Sus scrofa: one gene and its partner. The protein of the gene in region 1 interacts with the protein of each later gene in a pairwise test. Links are inferred from orthologs where the notes say so. Each region holds a gene or a part of one and is shown on either strand. Other genes may lie near its edges.

Region 1 (9,803 bases):
CGCGGCTCGGATACCGCGTTGCTGTGGCTCTGGCGTAGGCTACAGCTCCGATTCCACCCCTAGCCTGGGAACCTCCATATGCCGCGGGAACGGCTCAAGAAATGGCAAAAAGACCAAAAACAAAAACAAAAAACAAAAAACCAACAACACTAAGCCAGAACTATTTCAAACTACTCTTCCTTCTTCATGCGGAATTTACTCTTCAGCCCCATAACTATTTTATTTTATTTTGCTTTTTAGAGCAGCACCTACAGCATATGGAAGTTCCCAGGCTGCGGGTCTAATGCGAGCTGCAGCTGCCAGCCTAACCACAGCCACAGCAACTTGACATCTGAGCCGCATCTGCAACCTACACCACAGCTCATCGCAATGCCAAATCCTTAACCACTGAGCTAGTCCAGAAATCGAACCCGCACCCTCTTGAATACCACTGGGGTTTGTTACCACTGAGCCACACAGGAACTCCACCATAACCACTTTAAAGCTGAGCCTCAGTTTCTTTATTTGTAAAAGCCTACCCAAATCAGCCAGGCTCTGGTTCAGTGGTAGCCCAGAGGGGCTATCACTGCTTTGAAAATGGAGAATTTGTTGGAAAAAAAAACAAGAAGAGGGAGGTCATTCTCGGCAGAAAGAACTGCCTGGGCAAAGGTCTGGAGACTTTGAGGAGCCTTGGAGGGCTGGAGCCTCTCACAGGTTAATATGGCCAGAGCAGAGGGTTAGAGAGAGAATTTCATTGCCCCTGGGTACACACCCCTAATATCAGAGAATTTCAACTTCTCTCCTTGTGTCTCTGGGGACACAGAAGCAGGAAGACTCAGCCTCCTAGGGTCTGTCGGTGGGAGATTCAAGAACATTCATGCTGCCCTAGGCTCTGCACAGTTTAAACCAAAGGCAGAAGGAAGGAAGGGGTGATTCAGGTAGCGGTTATGGCACGGCCAATGTCTCCAGAGTGTGAGAGAATTGAGTGTGAGAGAATTGACCTCCTTCACAGAGGAGGTCATTGTGGCTGCAGCATGGAGTACATACTGGTGCTAGCAGAAAGCATATTGTTTTTAAAGACCTTGAATGCCAGGCTGAAGAGCTTGAAATGTTTCCCAAGGGCAATGGGGAGCCGTGGAGGGTGTATGAGCAGGGGAAGAGAACAGTGGTATCTCTGTCTCTGGAGTCTGGGTGGGGAAGGGAGTGGAGGGGTAGCCGGGAAGCCCAGGGAGGGAGCTGGCTGGCATCCAGATTGGGGAGGAGAGGCTTGGGCTGTGATTGTGGATGGAGACGAGACAAGGAGGTGGCCTTTAGAGGTACATGCAGGAAAAATGAGCAGGATATAGGGTCCAGCTGGGCTCTGAGGAATCCAACATTTATAGAGGAGAAATAGCAGCTGGCAGAGGAAGCAGAGATGAGATGGATAAAGAGTCAGTAGGAAACAAGGAGGATGTCTAACCATTCATTTCCCTGATGGTGCCTGACCATGTGCAAATTGCTTGTTAAAACTCCCATGAGGCAGTTCCCGTCATGGCTCAGTGTTTAACGAATCTGACTAGGAACCATGAGGTTTCAGGTTTGATCCCTGGCCTTGCTCAGTGGGTTAAGGATCTGGCATTGCCATGAGCTGTGGTGTAGGTCGCAGAAGTGGCTCACATCCTGAGTTGCTGTGGCTCTGGCAAAGGCCGGTGGCTACAGCTCCGATTGGACTCCTAGCCTGGGAACCTCCATATACCGTGGGAGCGGGCCAAGAAATGGCAAAAAGACAAACAAACAAACAAACAAACAAAACTCAAGTGAGGACTTCTCTCTGTAGTGCAACAGGATCAGCAACATCTCTGCAGTGCCAGGAGGCAGGTTTGATCCATGGCTGGCACAATGGATTTGGCGTTGCCACAGCTGCTGTATAGGTCGAAACTGGGGCTCGGATATGATCCCTGGCTCAGGAACTCCATATACTGCAGGGCGGCCAAAAAAGAAAAAAAGAAAGAAAGAAGGGAAAAAGGAAAAAACTCTCATAACACTGGTAAATGTATATATACCAGTACACACACATACACACACCCACACACACAATGGAATACTACTCAGCCATAAAAGAATGAAATAATGTCATTTGCAGCAACATGGATGGACCCAGAGATGATCATACTAAGTGAAATACACACACACACACACACACACACACACACACACACACACACACACAAAGCAAGGTGGTCTCTTGTGGCACAGCAGGTTAAGGATTGGGTATTGTCACTGCAAGCTGCTTGGGTTGCTGCTATAATGCAAGTTCAATCCCTGGCTCAGGAACTTCTATATGCCACAAGCACAGCCAAAAAAAAAAAAGTCAGTCAGACAGAAAAAGACAAATATCATGTGATATCATTTTATGTGGAATCTAAAAAAAAAGATGCAAATGAACTTATTTACAAAACAGAAATAGACTCACAGACATAGAAAGCAAACTTACAGTTACCAAAGGGGAAAGGTAGGGAGAGGAATTAACAGACACACTACTGTATATAAAATAAACAAGAAGGACCTACTGTATAGCATAGGGAACTGTATTCAATATCTTATAATAATGTATAATGGAAAGAACCTCAAAATAACTTTAAAAGAATATATAGTATATATACACATATATAACAATCACTTTGCTGTACACTTGAAACTAATATAACATTTTAAATCAATTAAACTCCAAGAAAAAGTTGTTGATATTGGGAAAAAAAACAAAAACCAAAAACTCCTATGACACTGTAGGAAGATAAGGAAATTGAGACTCAGAGGGGATCATTACTTGCTCAAGGTTACCAATCCCAGGTCTGTGACTGAAGTGGAACAAAAATTTTGACCCTGGAGTTCCCGTCATGGCTCAAGGGTTAACAAATCCAACTAGGAACCATGAGGTTGTGGGTTTGATCCCTGACCTTGCTTGGTGGGTTAAGGATCCGGCATTGCCGTGGGCTGTGGTGTAGGTTGCAGACGAGGCTCAGATCCCTCGTTGCTGTGGCTCTGACATAGGCTGGTGGCTGCAGCTCCGATTTGACCACTAGCCTGGGAACCTCCCTATGCCGAGGGAGCGGCCCAAGAAATTACAGAAAAAAAAAAAAAAAAAAAAAAAAAAAAAGAATTCTGACCCTGACAGGCAGAGAAAAGAAGTTTGCAGGGGAGCAAGATGAAGAGCATCAGCTCAGGGGAACATCCTGGCTTCTGGGAAATTAAATCCAAGAGTCAGAGATGGAGGAGCCATGGGCTTGGTGAGACAAGGAGGGACTGACATCCTGGGAGCTAGACATGTGTCCTCCTGCTGGGGCTCGAGGAAGCCTCTGTCCTTCAGGAGGAAACTGCACAATAACAAGTCACATGGCCCTGGGAGGGGGTTTCCTGTTTTCCGGCCCCTCCCAGGCTGGCCTTGGCCAGCCCAAGTCTGAGCAGGCAGTAGCCAGAGTTACCCCAAGAGTGTCCAAGGACTTGGTCCTCTGACCAAAGTGCCCCCAGAGTAATAGAGAAGTAGAGCAGGCTGAGGGGACCAAACCCCAGGATTGGAACTTCCGGTTCAGGAGAGCCCTGGCAGGGAGAGGGGACCATTGAAGTCCTTGCCATAAGCCCAGATAGGGGAGGGAGGGGAACAAAGACGCAGTGAAGAATAAGAGAGGCAGAGGAGAATGGGGAGGTCAGGGCAACCTTGAGAGGTAGTGAGCTTCCCGTCAAGGGAGGCATTTAAAAGTGCCAAACCATCATTGATAACTCAAGATCCTTCCAGAGAAGTGAAATCGATGTCCATTACACAGAAGAAATTGAGGCTGGCATTCACTTTGAGTTGGGATCAGGTTGTGATTTTAGGGGGTGAGGAAGACTCAGAAGACACTGATTTCTGGATAACAATGAGTGCCAGGGCCACGCGGCCCCGAAGCCGGCGAGGGAGGCATGCTTTGCCCGTAAGTGTCCCCTGTCCCTGCCACACCCATCTCTGTGGGACCTCAGGACCCAGACCTGCCTGGCTCAGTCCTAGGGATCATTTGCAGGGTGAGCTGGACCCTGTGGCAGAGAGTTCAGAGGAGGCCGAGGCAGCCAGTGGGAGCTCTCACCTGGGCCCTGTGCCATCTCAGGATAGCTGTAAGCCGGAGCTGCTGGGCCATGAGGTGGAGGCCAAAGCAAAGAGCCTGGAGAGCAGGTAAGGCCTGTTTGTCCTGTGACCCCTACTCCAGGCTGGGCACATCTTTCCCACCCATAGATCTGTTTATGTCCCTCCCCTACTCACATGCATGTCATGGCTCCCACTGCCCTCAGCCTGACTTTCAAGGCCCTGTGCAATGCAGTCACAGCCTTGTTACAAAGCCTCTGTGTGTTAGCCACCCCAGATGACCCCATTTCTAGAACTTTCCATCTCTCACCTCTTCACAGGCCTGACAAAGAAGTTGATGGGGACTCTCACGGGGGGCCAGCTCTAGCTCCAGAGAGGCCCCATGAGCCTGCAGAGGAAGCCCGTCATGCCCCAGAGGCAGCCCCACGGGAAAGGGAGACCAGCCCTTCTGAACCTGGAGCCCCCGATGTGTTTCAGACTCTACAGCATGCTCTGAGCTCTCTGGAAGCGGCTGCTGCTGCCTGGCGCCACAGGCCCCCAAGCTGTGCTGGGCCAATGGAGGCAAAGGACAGAAGCGAGGGGGGACCGATGCCAGGCTTGGAGCAGGAGGGGGCTGGGAGCTGCCAGCGGGAGGCAGCCCGATTGGCTGAAAGGAACACCTGGCTGCGTTTGGCCCTGGGCAGCCGCGAGGACGAGCTGATCCGCACCCAGTCCTCCCTGAAGGCCTTCCAGGCTGAGAAGGAGAGGCTGCAGAGAGAGGTGAGTGGGGCAGCCTGCCTCCCAGGGTTCCCTGTGTGAGGGAGGAGGCGGTTTGGCACAGGACATGATCAAGTTCAATCATTTGTGTATTTGTAAGGCTTTTATGGAGGCTTGGCTGCTGAACCACAAACAGACAAAGGTTGCTTGCAATCTTAGGTAAAGTGATCAGGGAGGCCCACTGAGGAGGTGACACTTGAATAAAGACCACAAGGAGGGGAGTTCCTGTTGTGGTGCAGTGGAAATGAATCCAACTAGTATCCATGAGGATGCTGGTTCAGTGGGTTGGGGATCCGGGGTTGCTGTGAGCTGTGGTGTAGGTTGCAGACGAGACTCAGATCTTGCAGTGGCTGTGGCTGTGAAGTAGGCTGGCACTGTAGCTCCGATTTGACCTCTAGAAACACACACACACACACACACACACACCACACACACACACACACACACACACAAGGAGGCAAGGTAGGAGCCATGCTAGTGTTGGGAAGAGCATTCCAGGCAAAGGGAACAGCATATGTAAAGGCCCTGAAGTTGAAGTGTGGTTGATGTGTTCAAGGAACAGTGAGGAGATCGGTGTGGGGCTGAGTGGGAGGATACAGGGTATGAAGGTGATGGGGGCAGATTCTTCAGGGCCTGTGGGTCACAGGGAGGATTTGAGCTTTTTTTTTGCTCTGCAGTAGGTGAGAAGCACAGAGGATTATGAAGGAGGGAGGGTTGAGACCTCACGCAGGCGCCCTCTGGCGGCTGTGGGAGGAACCGCTGGTGGAGGGAGAGGGTGGAATCTTGGAGATAAGGGAAGAGACACTGGTCCAGAGGTGTATCAATGGAAGTTGTGCAGGTGCCTAGAAGAGGGCAGGTTCTAGATAATGTTGAAGGTGGAGTTGGCAAGCGTGGGTGTGAAAGCTAGAGAGGGCTTGAGAACGAGTTCTGGGTTGGGGGTTTGGGAGACTGCAGTGGAGGCATGGGGAGTCTACCAGAGGGGCAGTTTTGGTGGGAGGGAAACCCGAGTTGTGGTCTCTGATTAGCTCCAGATGCCATGAGCCACCCACATGGGGCCATTAAAAGAACAGCTCTAGGAGTTCCCATCGTGGCTCAGTGGTTAACAAATCCGACTAGGAACCATGAGGTTGCGGGTTCGATCCCTGGCCTCTCTCAGTGGGTTAAGGACGCGGCTTGGATCTGGCGTTGCTGTGGCGTAGGCTGGTGGCTACAGCTTCGATTTGGTCCTTAGCCTGGGAACCTCCATATGCTGTGGGAGCGGCCCAAGAAATGGCAAAAAGACAAAAAAAAAAAAAAAAAAAAAAAAAGGAACAGTCCTACATCTGAGTTCAGAACTCAGCAGATGTCAGAGTGAGAAGGACCCAGGTGGTGACACTAGGGGTTGCAGGTGCCAGTGCAAGGAGTGGGGCCCATTTCCCTACAGAGTGGGGCCCATTTCCAAGATGGAAAAGAAAAATATATTTTAAAAAATGTTTGCCTACCCCCTACCCCCTGCCTCTGGCAAATATCAATCTGTTCTCTGTATCTGCATGTTCAATTCTTAAACTTTTTTTTCTAGGGCTGCACCCGTGGCATATGGAGGTTCCCAGGCTAGGGGTCTAATCAGAGCTGTAGCTACCGGCCTACACAACAACTTGGGATTTGAACCCCGTCTGTGACCTACATCACAGCTCACGACAACTTAACCCAATGAGAGAGGCCAGGGATTGAACCTGAAACCTCATGGTTCCTCGTCAGATTCATTAATCACTGAGCCATGACAGGAACTCCAATTTTTTAATTTTTTAAAAATTTTAATTTATTATTATTACTATTATTATTGGCCACACCTGCAGCATGCAGAAGTTCCTTTCCCAGGCCAGGGATCAAACCCTTGCCACAGTAATAACCAGAGCCATGCAGTGGCAATGCCAAATCCTTAACTCACTGAGCCATCAGGGAACTCCAATTTTGCTTTATTTTATTTTATTATTTCATTTCATTTATTTTATTTTATTTTATTCCTTTTATTTTTTGGCTGGCCTGCGGCATATGGAGCTCCTGGGCCAGGGATCAAATCTGAGATGCAGTTGAGACCTATGACACACTTGCAGCGATGACAAATCCTTTAACCCACATGAGCTGGGGATCAAATGTATGTCCTCATGCTGCAGGAGATGCCATCAATCCCTTTGCACCATAGCAGAAACTCCTTCTTTAGACTCCACATATAAGTGAGATCATACAGTGTTTATCTTTTTTTTTTTTTTTTTTTTTTTTGCCTTTTTAGGGCTGCACCTGAGGCATATGGAGGTTCCCAGGCTGGAGTCAAATTGAAGGTGTAGCCACTGGCCTACGCCACAGCCATAGCCAAACCAGATCCAAGCCACATCTGCAAACTACACCATAGTTCATGGACACACTGGATCCTTAACTAACCGAGCAAAGCCAGGGATCAAACCTGCATCCTCATGGATACTAGTCAGACTTACTTCTGCTGAGCTACAACAGGAACTCCCTTTCTTTTCTTTTTTGGGTGCTCTATGGCATATGGAGTTCCCAGGCCAGAAATCAGATCCAAGCTGCAGTTGTGACCTAAGCTACAGCTTCAGCAATGCCAGATCCTTAACCCACTGTGCCAGGCTGGTAATTGAACCTGTGTCCCAGTGCTCCCAAGAGGTCGCCATAGTTGTGACACAGTAGAAACTCCTCATTGTGTTTTTTTGTTTGTTCATTTGTTTGTTTGTCTTTTTAGGGCTGTACCCACAGCATATGGAAGCTCGAATTGGAGCTGCAGCTGCAGGCCTACACCACAGCCACAGCAACACGGGATCCAAGCCGTGTATGTGACCTACACCACAGCTCACGGCAATGCTGTATCCTTAATCCCCTGAGTGAGGCCAGGAGTCAAACCCACATCCTCATGGATATTAGTTGGGTTCGTTACCCTTGAACCATGACAGGAACTCCCCACATGGTGGTTTTGATTTGCATTTCCCTGAGACTTAGCGATATTAAGCATCTTTTCACATACCTGTTGGCTATCTGTATATCTAAAAAAAGGGAAGTCTTAAGTGGCTGAGTGAGTTGCCCAAGGTTGTATAGTGAGGGATTTGGTAGGATGAGTATCTGGGGTCCTGCCTTCCAGCCAGGGCTCTTGCCACTGCCCTAGGAACAGATCTTAGGTAAGAATGCTAGAGCCCCCAGGCCTGACACCCCCCTTTCCCATACAGGTCCAGGAGCTGCAGGATTCCCTGCTGAGGCTGGAGCCCTTCTCATCGCCCTCTGGTGACCAAGCAGGTGGCTCTAGAAGTGGTTCCAGCAGCTCTGGGGCTGACAGGGAGACCTGGGACACTCAGGTGAGTGTGGGAAGCTGAAAACCATGATCTTAAGATGCTTAGGGTTTAGGCCATGGGACTCAGTTCCTGGTCATGGATCCAATAGCTTGTGAGGTTGGAAAAGCCCTAAAGCCATGATGCTGGGCTCTTGGTGACAATCTGGGTGAATCCAGCCACCTTCTGGAGTTCCCTGGTGGTGCAGTGGGTTAAGGATCTGGTGTTATCAGTGCTGTGGCACTGGTTGGATCTCTGGCATGGAAACTTCCATATGCTGTTGGCACCTCCAAAAAAAAAAAAGAGAGAGAGATTGATTCACACAGGAGTGTATTTTTTTAAAAAATTCACCTCCTTCTGCCTTCTGGCAGGATCCTTTCTCCCCAGCTCATCCCCTGCTTCGGCGCCTCCAGAGTGATTCCAGCACCCAGATGCTTGAACCGCTTGCCCCTGAGATGCACATCGTGGAAGCCCAGATGGAGCAGCTGCGAGGGTAAGAGCCACAAATGCTGAGCTCGTAAGGGCACTGGTGCCTCCCAGCTGGAAGAGGAGTCTCCAGGAGTCTGGAGCTGGAGGGGGAGGGAGGGTGGAAGTCAATCAGGTCCTAACTGTCCTTCAAGGCATCTCACTTTCCTTCTTTTCCACTTCGGGAGGCAGGAACATTGAAAAGCTCAAATGCTTCAACCGTCTGCTGTCGGCTGTGCTCCAGGAGTACAAGGGCCGGTGTGAGGGCCTCAGCATGCAGCTGGGCCAGCTGGAGGCTGAGGCCACTGCGCTGCATCTAGCCTTGCAGTATAGGTCAGTGCACCCCACCCATGATGTCACTGACTGGGAAGGAAATGGGCATCCTCAAAGGATGGCCCTCGTCCCTAGAGAGAGGCAGGGACCTCACACGTCCCTAGAGAGAGGCAGGGCCCTCACAGAAAAGTACTTTTCCCTTACCAGGGAACTTAACTTCAGGCGATTTTAGTCCAAGAGGGCTGGAGGAGCAGTTCCCATCCTACCCCCAGCCTGGGAACTTCCATATGCCGTGGGTGCAGCCTTAAAAAGGCTGGAGGAGTTTATGAACTCCCAGGTGTGGGGGAGGGGAGGAGAAGTGAGGGGGTCCCAGAGCAAGTGGGGATGTCACCGACACAGCAAGATGGGTGTCCTGGAGTGCTTAGAGCTCATGTCCCACAGTGAACACTGTGAGGAGGCGTATGGAGCCCTGCTCACTCTCCGGGAGGCAGATTCCAGAGCAGGAGAGAAAGCCCTCACGAGTGACTTGGAGGCAGCTGAAAAGGAAGCTCAGAGGCTGCTGATGCAAGAGAAGGCTGCCATGGATGGAGGGACACTTCAGGCTCCACATCCAAGGTACCCAAGGGAACCCTGGGTACCGGGTGAGCCAATGAGTGAGGTTCTGATTGGAGAACTGGGCTCCCAGAATCAGTCCCACACTGGGAAGTTCCATGGCTCTTATGGTTGGCATGAAACCTGACTGGTGTTGGCTGGTTGCTACTCAACAAAGTTGGGGTGATGGTGACACCCACTGGGGTTGGTTTAGGACGCATCAGAGTTGGCATGATGATGATGGATGATGGTGCCCATGGATTAGAACTGGCATGATGGTACTTAGTGGGGTTGGCTTGATGTTGGTATCCACTGGAGTTGGCATGATGCTGCCT
Region 2 (9,626 bases), on another chromosome or scaffold:
CTGCGGCATATGGAGGTTCCCAGGCTAGGAGTCTAATTGGAGCTGTAGCCACTGGCCTACGCCAGAGCCACAGCAATGCAGGATCCAAACCACATCTGCGACCTACACCACAGCTCACGGCAACGCCGGATCGTCAACTCACTGAGTGAGGCCAAGGATCGAACCCGCAACCTCATGGTTCCTAGTCATATTCGTTAACCACTGCGCCATGATGGGAACTCTGGCCAGGTGTCTCTTAAAGTATCCCACATTCTGGGAGTTCCTGGTGGCCTCGTGGGTTGAGGATCGGCATGGTCACTGCTATGGCCTGGGTTCGTTCCTGTCCCCAGAACTTTGCATGCCTCTGGCTTGACTAAAAAAAAAAAATCCCACTTTCTGGATTTTTGTGATTGTTTTCTCACAGACTAAGTTTAAACATTTTTGGCAGGGATGCCATATGAGTAAGGGTGTGTATTTCTTATTGCATGTGATTCCAGGTTGTCCCTGTGCTGGGACACTGCAGGTCACTCTCACATATTATTATTTTGTCCTTTTGGCTGCACCTGCAGTATGTAGAAGTTCTCAGGCCAGGGACTGAACCTGAGCCACAGCAGCAACCTGAGCTGCTGCAGTGACAATGCTGGATCCTTAACCCACTTATCAGATGCCCCTGTAGCTGCCAGGTCATGCCTCTGGAAGGGCAGGGGATCCCAGAGCCACTGGGAAGTAAATGACCCTTTGCAACCCTGGGATGTGACTTCCTCTCTCTGAGACTGTTTGCCCACTTGTAAGATAGAATTAATAGGTCCTAGCCCATTCTCTGCTTCATTTCTCTCCATCTAACATATTTCTCACCATCTAACATATTCTACTTTTTACTAGTTGCCTTGTCTATTTTGTCCCTTGCTGCATGCCCAGCACCTGGTACATAATAGGTCATCAATAGGATTTGTTGAAAAGGAGTTCCCGTTGTGGCTCAGTGGTTAATGAACCTGACTAGTATCCATGAGGACGTGGGTTCAATCCCTGGCCTCGCTCAGTGGGTTAAGGGTCTGGTATAGGTTGCAGACATTGCTGTGGCTGTAGTGTAGGCCGGCAGCTACAGCTCCGATTCAACCCCTAGCCTGGGAACCTCCATATGCCGTGGGTATGGCCTTAAAAATAAAAAAAATAAAAAAAAAAAGTATGTGTTGAATGAATGTAGTAAAGGGTACAGATTAGCACCCTGCACGTGGGAAGGGTTTCATGGCTTTTGGCTCGTTCACCATCTTCTACCGTCTGGACTGGGCACACCGTAGACGGTCACTGGTGTGACCCTGCGCAGGGTGACGGGGGAGGACATCTGTTTACCTGGCCCCTCAATCTTTACCTTACAGGAGATCAGCCGCTGACCGGGGCCTACACGGTGACCCTGGATGGACGAGGGCCCTCTAGGGTCATCTCCAAACATGACCTGGGCCACTTCATGCTGCACTGCCTCACCACTGATGAGTACAACGGCCACAACACCTACCCCTCCCACGAGTACGAATAGGGCTCTGACCCCGTCCAGGAAGACAGCATCCTGTGGCTACAGCAAAGGATGGGAACAATAAATCTCAAGCTAAGAGCTTCAGTTTATTCAGGAGGACCCAATTCTATGTCTCTTCCTCTCCCTGGCTCTGTCAGGGTGTCTTCACTGTCCTGTCTGCCTCTGTGTAAGGTTTTCTAGGCAGGAGTTCCCATTATGGCTCAGCGGGTTAAGAACCCGACGAGTATCCATGAGGATGCAGGTTTGGTCCCTGGCCTTGCTCAGTGGGTTAAGGATCCAGCGTTGCTGCAAGCTGCAGTGCAGGTCTTGGATATGGTTTGGATCTGGCATTGCTGGCTGTGGCGTAGGCCAGTAGCTACAGCTCCTTAGCTTAGGAGCCTCCATGTGTTGTGTGTTTGGCCCTAAAAAGACCAAAAAAAAGAGAAAAAAGATTTTCTGGGCATTCATCCATTTGTTTCCTCACCTGGCCCTGTGCTGGGGAACCAGTGAAGACAGTGGGGACCCTGTCTTCATGGATCTCACTGTCCAACGTGGAAGACAGCCCTGCCCCTGACAGTGACAACACAGAGTGAGTGGCCAGGGCTCTGATGGAGGAAGCAGAGAGAGCCGAGGGACCCAGCTTGAGGAAGGTTCTGTGGAAGATGAGCTGTCCCACCTGAAACCTGGTTTAGTGAGAATGAGCCAAGGGAAGGTTCTAAGGCGTGATGGCGTTCCAGGCAGAAGAGGCCACATGAGCACATGGCCCCTTTGAAGAACTAAAGCCCATCCCCTACAGTTAATACTTTGGTCAGAGGGGAGGAGCGATCAACCCCAAGAGGCTGTTCTATGGTGCTAAACCGGCCAGGGTCCTTGTAAAAGTTTGAGCTTTAGTCTAAGTTTTTATGCAAAGAGTGGAGCAAGGGAGAGGTGGGGAGGGGGGATCACACTCAGGTTTGTTTGCTTGTTTAGGGCCGCACCCACGGCATATGGAAGGTCCCAGGCTACGGGCTGAGCCCAAGCTGCAGCTGCCATCCTACACCACAGCCACAGCAAAGCCAGATCCTTCACCCACTGAGCAAGAGGCCAGGGATTGAACCTACATCCTCATGGATACTAGTTGGGTTCATTACTGGTGAGCCGCACGACAGGAACTCCGGGTTTGTGTTTTATGAAGCTTCCCTGGGCTACTGTGTGCGGGTGGATGGGAGGGTGCAGAAGTAGAGACTGGGAACCCAGAGGGTGTCCTGGGACCTTGAGGAAGAGAGGGAGAGTGGGCGGGAGCCTGAGTGGACAGTTGGGAGGGGAGGGAGGCACCAGAAGGAAACCTAGGACTGAATCCTGAAAGTGGGGTTGCAGTAGGGCCACCCTGAGACAGGAAGCCTGAAGGGGCTGATTCGGCACGGGGAGGGGAAGAACTGCCTCTTCCTAATCATGTCCCTTCTTGGAATCTACTCTCCCCCACCTTTGTCCCCCAGAGACACCTTTCCCAGGACTGAGCAAACCACTCCTCGCTTACCTAACCCCCAAAGCTCTCCCCCAACCCCAAATCCATTCCCATCCTATACTCTTCTCCACACAGCTGGACTACATGACTGACAAATTCCAACCGGCGAGGACTGGTCCAAAGAGCCTTAAACCTTCCTTCTCCGGAGCGGCCTGGAGAAAACTCTCTCCTCCCGTGGGCGGGAACGTGTTGTGGGGGTGGGGCAGGGCTGGTTCAGGCTTTCTGGGCACCGGCCGCACTCATTTCCTCCCGCTTTATTTCTTCTGTTACAGTGTCTGCATTTAACAAACTTTCTTTCACTGGGCGCCTGCCTTGTGTCCGGCCCTGTGCTAGGTGATGCTGGGGACCAAGCAGTGAGATAACATTGGTACGTGTCCCCAGGAGGCCCACAATCCAGTGACGGCCAGGGCCAAGGTCGGGGAGACTCAGGCAAAGGAGTCAGGGTCGCGATGAGGGAAGCACAGGACCCTGTGGGAGGCCAGAATGGGTCTGGACCATCCCTGGAGCCTCAGAACTGAGAGGAAAACTTTGAGAAGAGTTCTGACTCAAGAGGCAGCCTGGGAATTGAGGGCGTATTTTCAGGATGGGAAAAAGTTTCAAGATCCAGAGGTCTTTTTAAAAGTATCCTTGATTTTGACTTACAATGTTGTGCCAGAGGTCTTTTTTTTTCCCCCCTCATTTTCGAGAACTTGATACGAACCTGGCATTGTTGTAGGCACTGAAGATAAGGCAGGGAAGAAAACCGAATCTCTGTTCACGGCGGTGGAGCCATTTTAGAAAGAGTGAGTCAGTCGGTGCGGCAGGATTGTAGAGAGCAAGGGAGAGTGCATCAAGCCAGACCTGAAGGGCTTTAAGGCAAAAAAAAAAAAAAAAAAAAAAAGTAGTTTGGACTTTGTCCCCACGACAGTGGGGAGCCAAGAGCGAGTTTCCCGCAGCAGGGGTGCCATCCTGAGGGAGGAAGGGCTAAGATCTCCCAGGCAACACAGGCCGCACCAAACTATTGGCTGGCCTTCGGTGCGTCATCCTCCTCCTCCGCAGGGTCCGCCCTCCAAAGCTAGGGGCGCGGCCTTCGTGAGAGGCGCAGCGGGGTCCTCCCGGTAAGCGGGGTGGGGCCGGGCGTGCCTGTCAATCTTCCTCCGCGACTGGGTCCAGGCTTGGTATAAAGGGGTCGCAGAGAGCAATGAAGACGGTCTTGGAGCGAGGACAGTAGCCGAGTTGAAAGAAACAGTTTTGGTGCAACATCCACCCTAGAGAGGTGGCCCTGCCTCCCGGCAAGTCAGAATCCTTTAAAAGGTCCGCGGAGCGAAGGAGGGGAAGGCGGGTCCGGCGTCTCCAGGCGACAGGCGGTAGCTCCGCCTAGCCAATCCGCGCCCTGCGGTGGGCAGGACTCCAGCCAATCATGGTTCGCGGCTCGGCTCCGGGCGGAGCTGGGTGGGCCTGAGGCCAGACCGAGAGGCCCCGGGGTGGTGAGCGCGGCCCCTACCCAGCACTCGCAAAGGAGGGTCGCAAAGCCGCGGGCGTTCCCGGAGGTAGTTGTTGCGAACCTGGCAGTTGAGGTGAGGTGTGGCTGCCTGGCTTGGGATCCGCCTTGGGTTGAGGGAAGTGGAGGCGCTCCGGAGAGTTGTGGAGGCGGGGTATGGGTGGGAGTAGGGGGCGCAGGTTTGGAGAGACTGAGTTTCGAGATCCTGAAAGGAAGGCGAAGTTTTGGGGACAGGGTCTTCAAGTGGAGGGAGTCTGAAGCTGGGACACGGGGTGTTTGGGAAGCGAGAGAACTAGGGAAGGAACTTTTGGGGGCAGGAAATCTGAAGATTGGGATAATTCAGGTCTCCGGGACGAGTTAAAGTCGGGCACTACTGTTCAGGAAAAAGTTTGAGGCGTTGCGCTGTGATCCCGAGCATTTGGAGAAGCGAAAGAAATAGGGGCAAGGACTCGATCTCCTAGACGCAGTGGTGGAGAGGGGTCCTGGGGAGAGGAGAGTTCCCAGTCAGGTCTTGGAGCCGGAGGGGGAGTCGGAGATGAGGTTGAGAAGCATTTGAAAGACCGGAGAATAGGGGAAAGTTGACGGGGAGGGTCTCAAAATTCAGATACCTAGCGGCCCGAACAGAGCGCATCGGAGAGCATTTGTAAGTCTTTGAGCGATGTGTTGGGGCCTGGGTCTCTGGACCCGAGAGTAGTTTGATGGAAGAATTTGGGACTTTCTACGGTCCGCAGGACCGGTAGAAAGCAGTTTAGAATCGGAGTCGGGTGGGGGAGGGGTGTTTCGGGCGTGGAGCTCAGACCCGCAGCCCTGAAGGCAGCGGAGGGCGGGGCTCGGCGGGCGCCGGGCAGCTGGACGTCCGGGTTCCCTTCCCCCACCCACCACGGGCCGCTTTGCGCATGCCCTAAGGGAAGGCGGGGAAGGTGCGTCCCTGCGGCTTGCTGAGCCCTCCGGGGGTTGTAGTGCGCGTTCAACGTCAGTACGTGTACCTGGAGGCTATTGGCCCACATTTCCCATAAGCCCCAAGGACCAAGTTGGGGCGTGTCTGGGTTCCGAACTCGAACTTCGTCGAGGGGGCGGGGCCTGTAGAGAGCGGGGGCCTGGTTGGATGGGCTGGTCGGGGGCGGGGCTTGGCGTGAGTAATGTTCTGGCGAGTTTTCCTACCGGACTCATGCTGGAGAAACCTGAAGGCAACCACAGAGGGAGTGAGGGAGGTATTTTCACTGTTGTTGCGAGAGCTCCCAGTCAGGAAAAATATTTGTTCTCTGTAAAAGAAGAGTCTCCACAGATAGGTTCCCTATCAGGGTTCCAGGTGGCTAGAATATAGTAGACATTCAAAAAAAAAATTTTTTAAGTGATTGTGGACCTGTATTTTATTTTTTGTTTCATTTTGTTTTCAAATTAAAGAAATATATATATTTTTGTCTTTTCTAGGACCGCACCCGCGGCATGTGGAGGTTCCCAGGCTAGAGGTCTAATCCGAGCTATAGCCGCCGGCCTTCGCCACAGCCACGCCAGATCCAAGCCTTGTCTGCGACCTACACCACAGCTCAAGGCAATGCTGGATCCCTAACCCAATGAGCAAGGCCAGGGATCGAACCTGCAATCTCATGATTCCTAGTCGGATTCGTCGGGAACTCCTCAAATAAAAATATTGAATGAGGAATTCCCGTTGTGACTGGACGGTAAGGAACCCAGCTAGTATCCATGAGACTGGTGTTCAATCCCTGGCTTTGCTCAGTGGGTTAACGATCAGGCGTTTCCGTGAGCTGCGGTGTAGGTCACAGATGTGGCTAGGATCTGGCGTGGCTGTGGTGTAGGCCAGCAGCTGAAGCTCCGATTTTGACCTATAGCCTGGGAACTTCTATATGCCACAGGGTGCCGGCCTAAAAAGAAATTTTTTTTCAATAAATAACTGGCAATGAACTCTTGTTCATTGTGCGTGTAGTATCACTTCCCAAGATCTCACAGCTGAGCAGTGTGAAAGGCAGAAGTCAACCCTAGGAATCTCTACTTGCAGGCCAGGTGTCTGTACTCAGTATCTGTCTTGTGTGTGTCGTGTTTGAAAATAAGAGTATTGTGAAAGAACAGCCTTAAGACTCCAGAACTTGAATTAAGATTCCTTGTAGATGAGGAAATTGAGTCTCAAGGAAGTAAATTCACTACTGGAGGCCACATGGGCCAGTAAGTGGGATTCAAACCCAGCTGTGTCTTGCGTCCAGATCTTGTTTTGTTAATCACATACATATACTCTCTTCCTTAGCCTTGTGAGATTTATTTGGGCCATTAAAAATCAACAGCCATACAGGAGATTCAGGATTTGAACTAACCCTGCTGTGTCTCACTTGCCCCTCTTCTTACCACAGGGCATCATGGTAGGCTTGAAGAGGAAACACTCAGATTTGGAGGAGGAAGAAGAGGATGAGAAGTGGGACTGGAGTCCCACAGGCCTTCGGAGCTACCAGCAAGCCCTGCTCCGCATCTCCCTAGACAAAGTCCAGCGAAGCCTGGGCCCCCGAGCACCCAGCCTTCGAAGGCATGTCCTCATCCACAACACCCTCCAACAACTCCAAGCAGCGCTTTGCCTGACGCCTGCACCTGCCCTGCCCCCCGAGCCCCTCTTCCTGGGCGAGGAGGACTTCTCCCTGTCGACCACCATCGGCTCTATTCTCAGGGAGCTGGAGACCTCCATGGATGAGACTGAGCCCCCTCCCAATCCAGTGGCTCCCCCAGGTCCCCAGAATGAAGTATTGCCCCAGCCCGATCCGGTCTTCTTAGAAGCTCTGAGCTCCCGGTACCTAGGGGACTCCGGCCTGGATGACTTCTTCCTGGACATTGACACATCGGCAGTGGAGAAGGAGCCTGCACTGACCCCACCCGAGCCTCCTCACAACCTCTTCTGTGCCCCAGGTTCCTGGGAGTGGAATGAACTAGATCACATCATGGAAATCATTCTGGGATCCTAAAACTTTGATGGGGAGGGGGCGCTCCTTCCCCATCTCAGCCTTGGTGGGCTGAAATCCCTGGATGCAACTCTGTGTGTGTGTGTTTATATGGAGGCTTTAAGCAGTAACTGTGGCCTCCTTTGCTCCCATTTCAGGGTTCCACAAACTGTCTTGCATGTGTGTGTGTGTCTGGTTATCGCAGCCTTCTGTGAAGGTGGGTCTTCCTGAATTAATTTATCTGTTGCAAATGCCTTAATGAGACTCTGTTTCTGGGAGTCTGATTTCCCACGTCCACATTTCTTCTGCCTTTCCCTCCAGTTCCTACTCCCCTCGTGTCCCCTGGGGCCTCAGGGAAGATAAGCTGGGCCTGTCAAAGGATGACAGGGAGGTGCTGCCTGGTTGCTATGGAAACCCAGCTTCTGCCTCTTGCACCTCTAGGGAATGGGAGGGGCTGGCCTCCTCCCCAGGCTGAACCCCACCTCCTTCATAGGACCCCAGTCCCAGCAGCCTCCTGATTCATGACCAGGCCGGACCACGTGCAATAGGGTGGAAACCAAACTGCTCCATGCCGCATTATTTAATAGAAAGGCAGGTTTTGTGGTGGGTTTTTTTGTTTTGTTTTCTGATTGTAATTTTTTTTTTTTTAATAAAAGTATTTTGGAAGGGGTGGTGTTGCCTAAAGTTTCTAAACTTTAGTGGGTCAGTGGGAGGGACCTGGTAAGTTCCCTAGACTCCTGCATCTCTGCCCTGTCAGAGTTGGAGCAGGGATACGAAATAGATCCTGGAGTTCCCGTTGTGGCTCAGTGGTTAACAAATCTGACTAGGAACCATGAGGTTGCAGGTTTGATCCCTGGCCTGGCTCAGTGGGTTAAGGATCTGGAGTTGCCGTGAGCTGTGGCGTAGGTCGCACACGCGGCTTGGATCTGGTGTTGCTGTGGCTCTGGTGTAGGCGGGTGGCTACTGCTCCAATTCGACCCCTAGCCTGGGAACCTCCATATGCCACTGGGGAGTGGCTCAAGAAAAGGCAAAAAGACAAAAAAAAAAAAAAAAAAAAAAAAAAAGATCCTGTTGCCATGTTTTCCATGGGAGGAGCCTGAGGTGAGAGGCCAGGTCACTTGCTCAGGGTCGCATAGCTAGGAAGGAGCAAGGAACTAGAACTCAAGTTCAGTCTCCCTCCAGAGACTTCTTAACTATTGTATTTGTTGCTTCGTGATAGATTTAGACACCTCAGCCACATTGGTGGACACAGGAGGGCAAAACGGGCCCATGGGTTACATGTCAAAGGCTAGGGCTCTCTGACACTTAAAAGTCAACACTTTCATTGTAGAAAATGTGCTGCTGAGGCCCAGAGGAGAGAGAAATGCCCAGAGACCCCATGTTACTAAAAGCAGATCTTTCTAGAAAACTGTTGGCTAGGAAGCAGAACCTAGGCTAGAGTGGTTCTGATGATTTATTTAGGAGATGTGAGCCAGGCTGCTGAGAGGGAGGGAGCGAGGCCAGGGAAAACACCCTGTGACAGACTGTTGCACTGGCTAGGCGGCCACAAAGACCTTCAAAGACAAGGCAGCAGGTATGTACACAGCATTAGGGACTTTTCTGGAAGGCGTGCGAGGAGGAACCTGAGTGTAGTCCACAAGCAGGGAGAGGAAGGGGATTTTTGCCCTTGCTTTCTGGCTTAAAGGCAGGTCCTCCTCCTGAGCATCGCATCTAAGTCTAAAAACAAGTCACTTACCACGAACAGGTGGGGCGGTCTGGAGAGGGGCAGTCTCCAGCCTGGAGAGAGAGCAGCTGGTCAAGGGCATCTCAAGAAGGCGCGTGAGGTCCCCGTCTCAATGTGGATGCCCACTGGATCATGTCTTCCTCCAACTTGAAACTGGTGACTTCTCACACTCAAAATAAAACCCCGACTTCACCGAGGCAGGCAAAGCCTGACAATCTTGCTCCTGACTTACCCACTTTAATCTCATTCTCCCCTCCCCACTCAGCTCCCTGCAGGGCTTTTGCACTTGCTGTTAGCTGCCCAGAGACACTTCCTGGCTAGTTTCACCAATCCTCTCCTCTCACAGAGATCTTCCCCGCCCTTCCCAGCTCAGCACGTCCGGGCACACCTCCCCACCGCCACCACTTCGCATGGTTGGATTTTCTTTGTAACATCAATCCAGTCTCAAATTATGACCTTTTTATGCTTAGCCTCCTGTTGGAGTCCTCGAA

What was found.
Region 2: the proteins of USHBP1 (region 1) and SERTAD3 interact in binary tests that used the Homo sapiens proteins (3 or more experiments, as listed by UniProt). The two-hybrid records come from large-scale screens. The link is inferred for Sus scrofa from reciprocal best matches to the Homo sapiens genes USHBP1 and SERTAD3.

What each region holds. Positions count from the first base shown.
Region 1 is NC_010444.4:60,408,231-60,418,033, forward strand, and holds the start of USHBP1 (Usher syndrome type-1C protein-binding protein 1), read left to right. Parts: upstream 1-3,398; 5' UTR 3,399-3,764; coding exon 3,765-3,926; intron 3,927-4,013; coding exon 4,014-4,162; intron 4,163-4,392; coding exon 4,393-4,831; intron 4,832-8,040; coding exon 8,041-8,166; intron 8,167-8,510; coding exon 8,511-8,632; intron 8,633-8,796; coding exon 8,797-8,937; intron 8,938-9,318; coding exon 9,319-9,492; intron 9,493-9,803.
Region 2 is NC_010448.4:48,707,520-48,717,145, reverse strand, and holds SERTAD3 (SERTA domain-containing protein 3), read left to right. Parts: upstream 1-4,395; 5' UTR 4,396-4,549; intron 4,550-6,836; 5' UTR 6,837-6,842; coding exon 6,843-7,436; 3' UTR 7,437-8,082; downstream 8,083-9,626. Other genes in the region: BLVRB (flavin reductase (NADPH)), read left to right, coding at 1,356-1,513.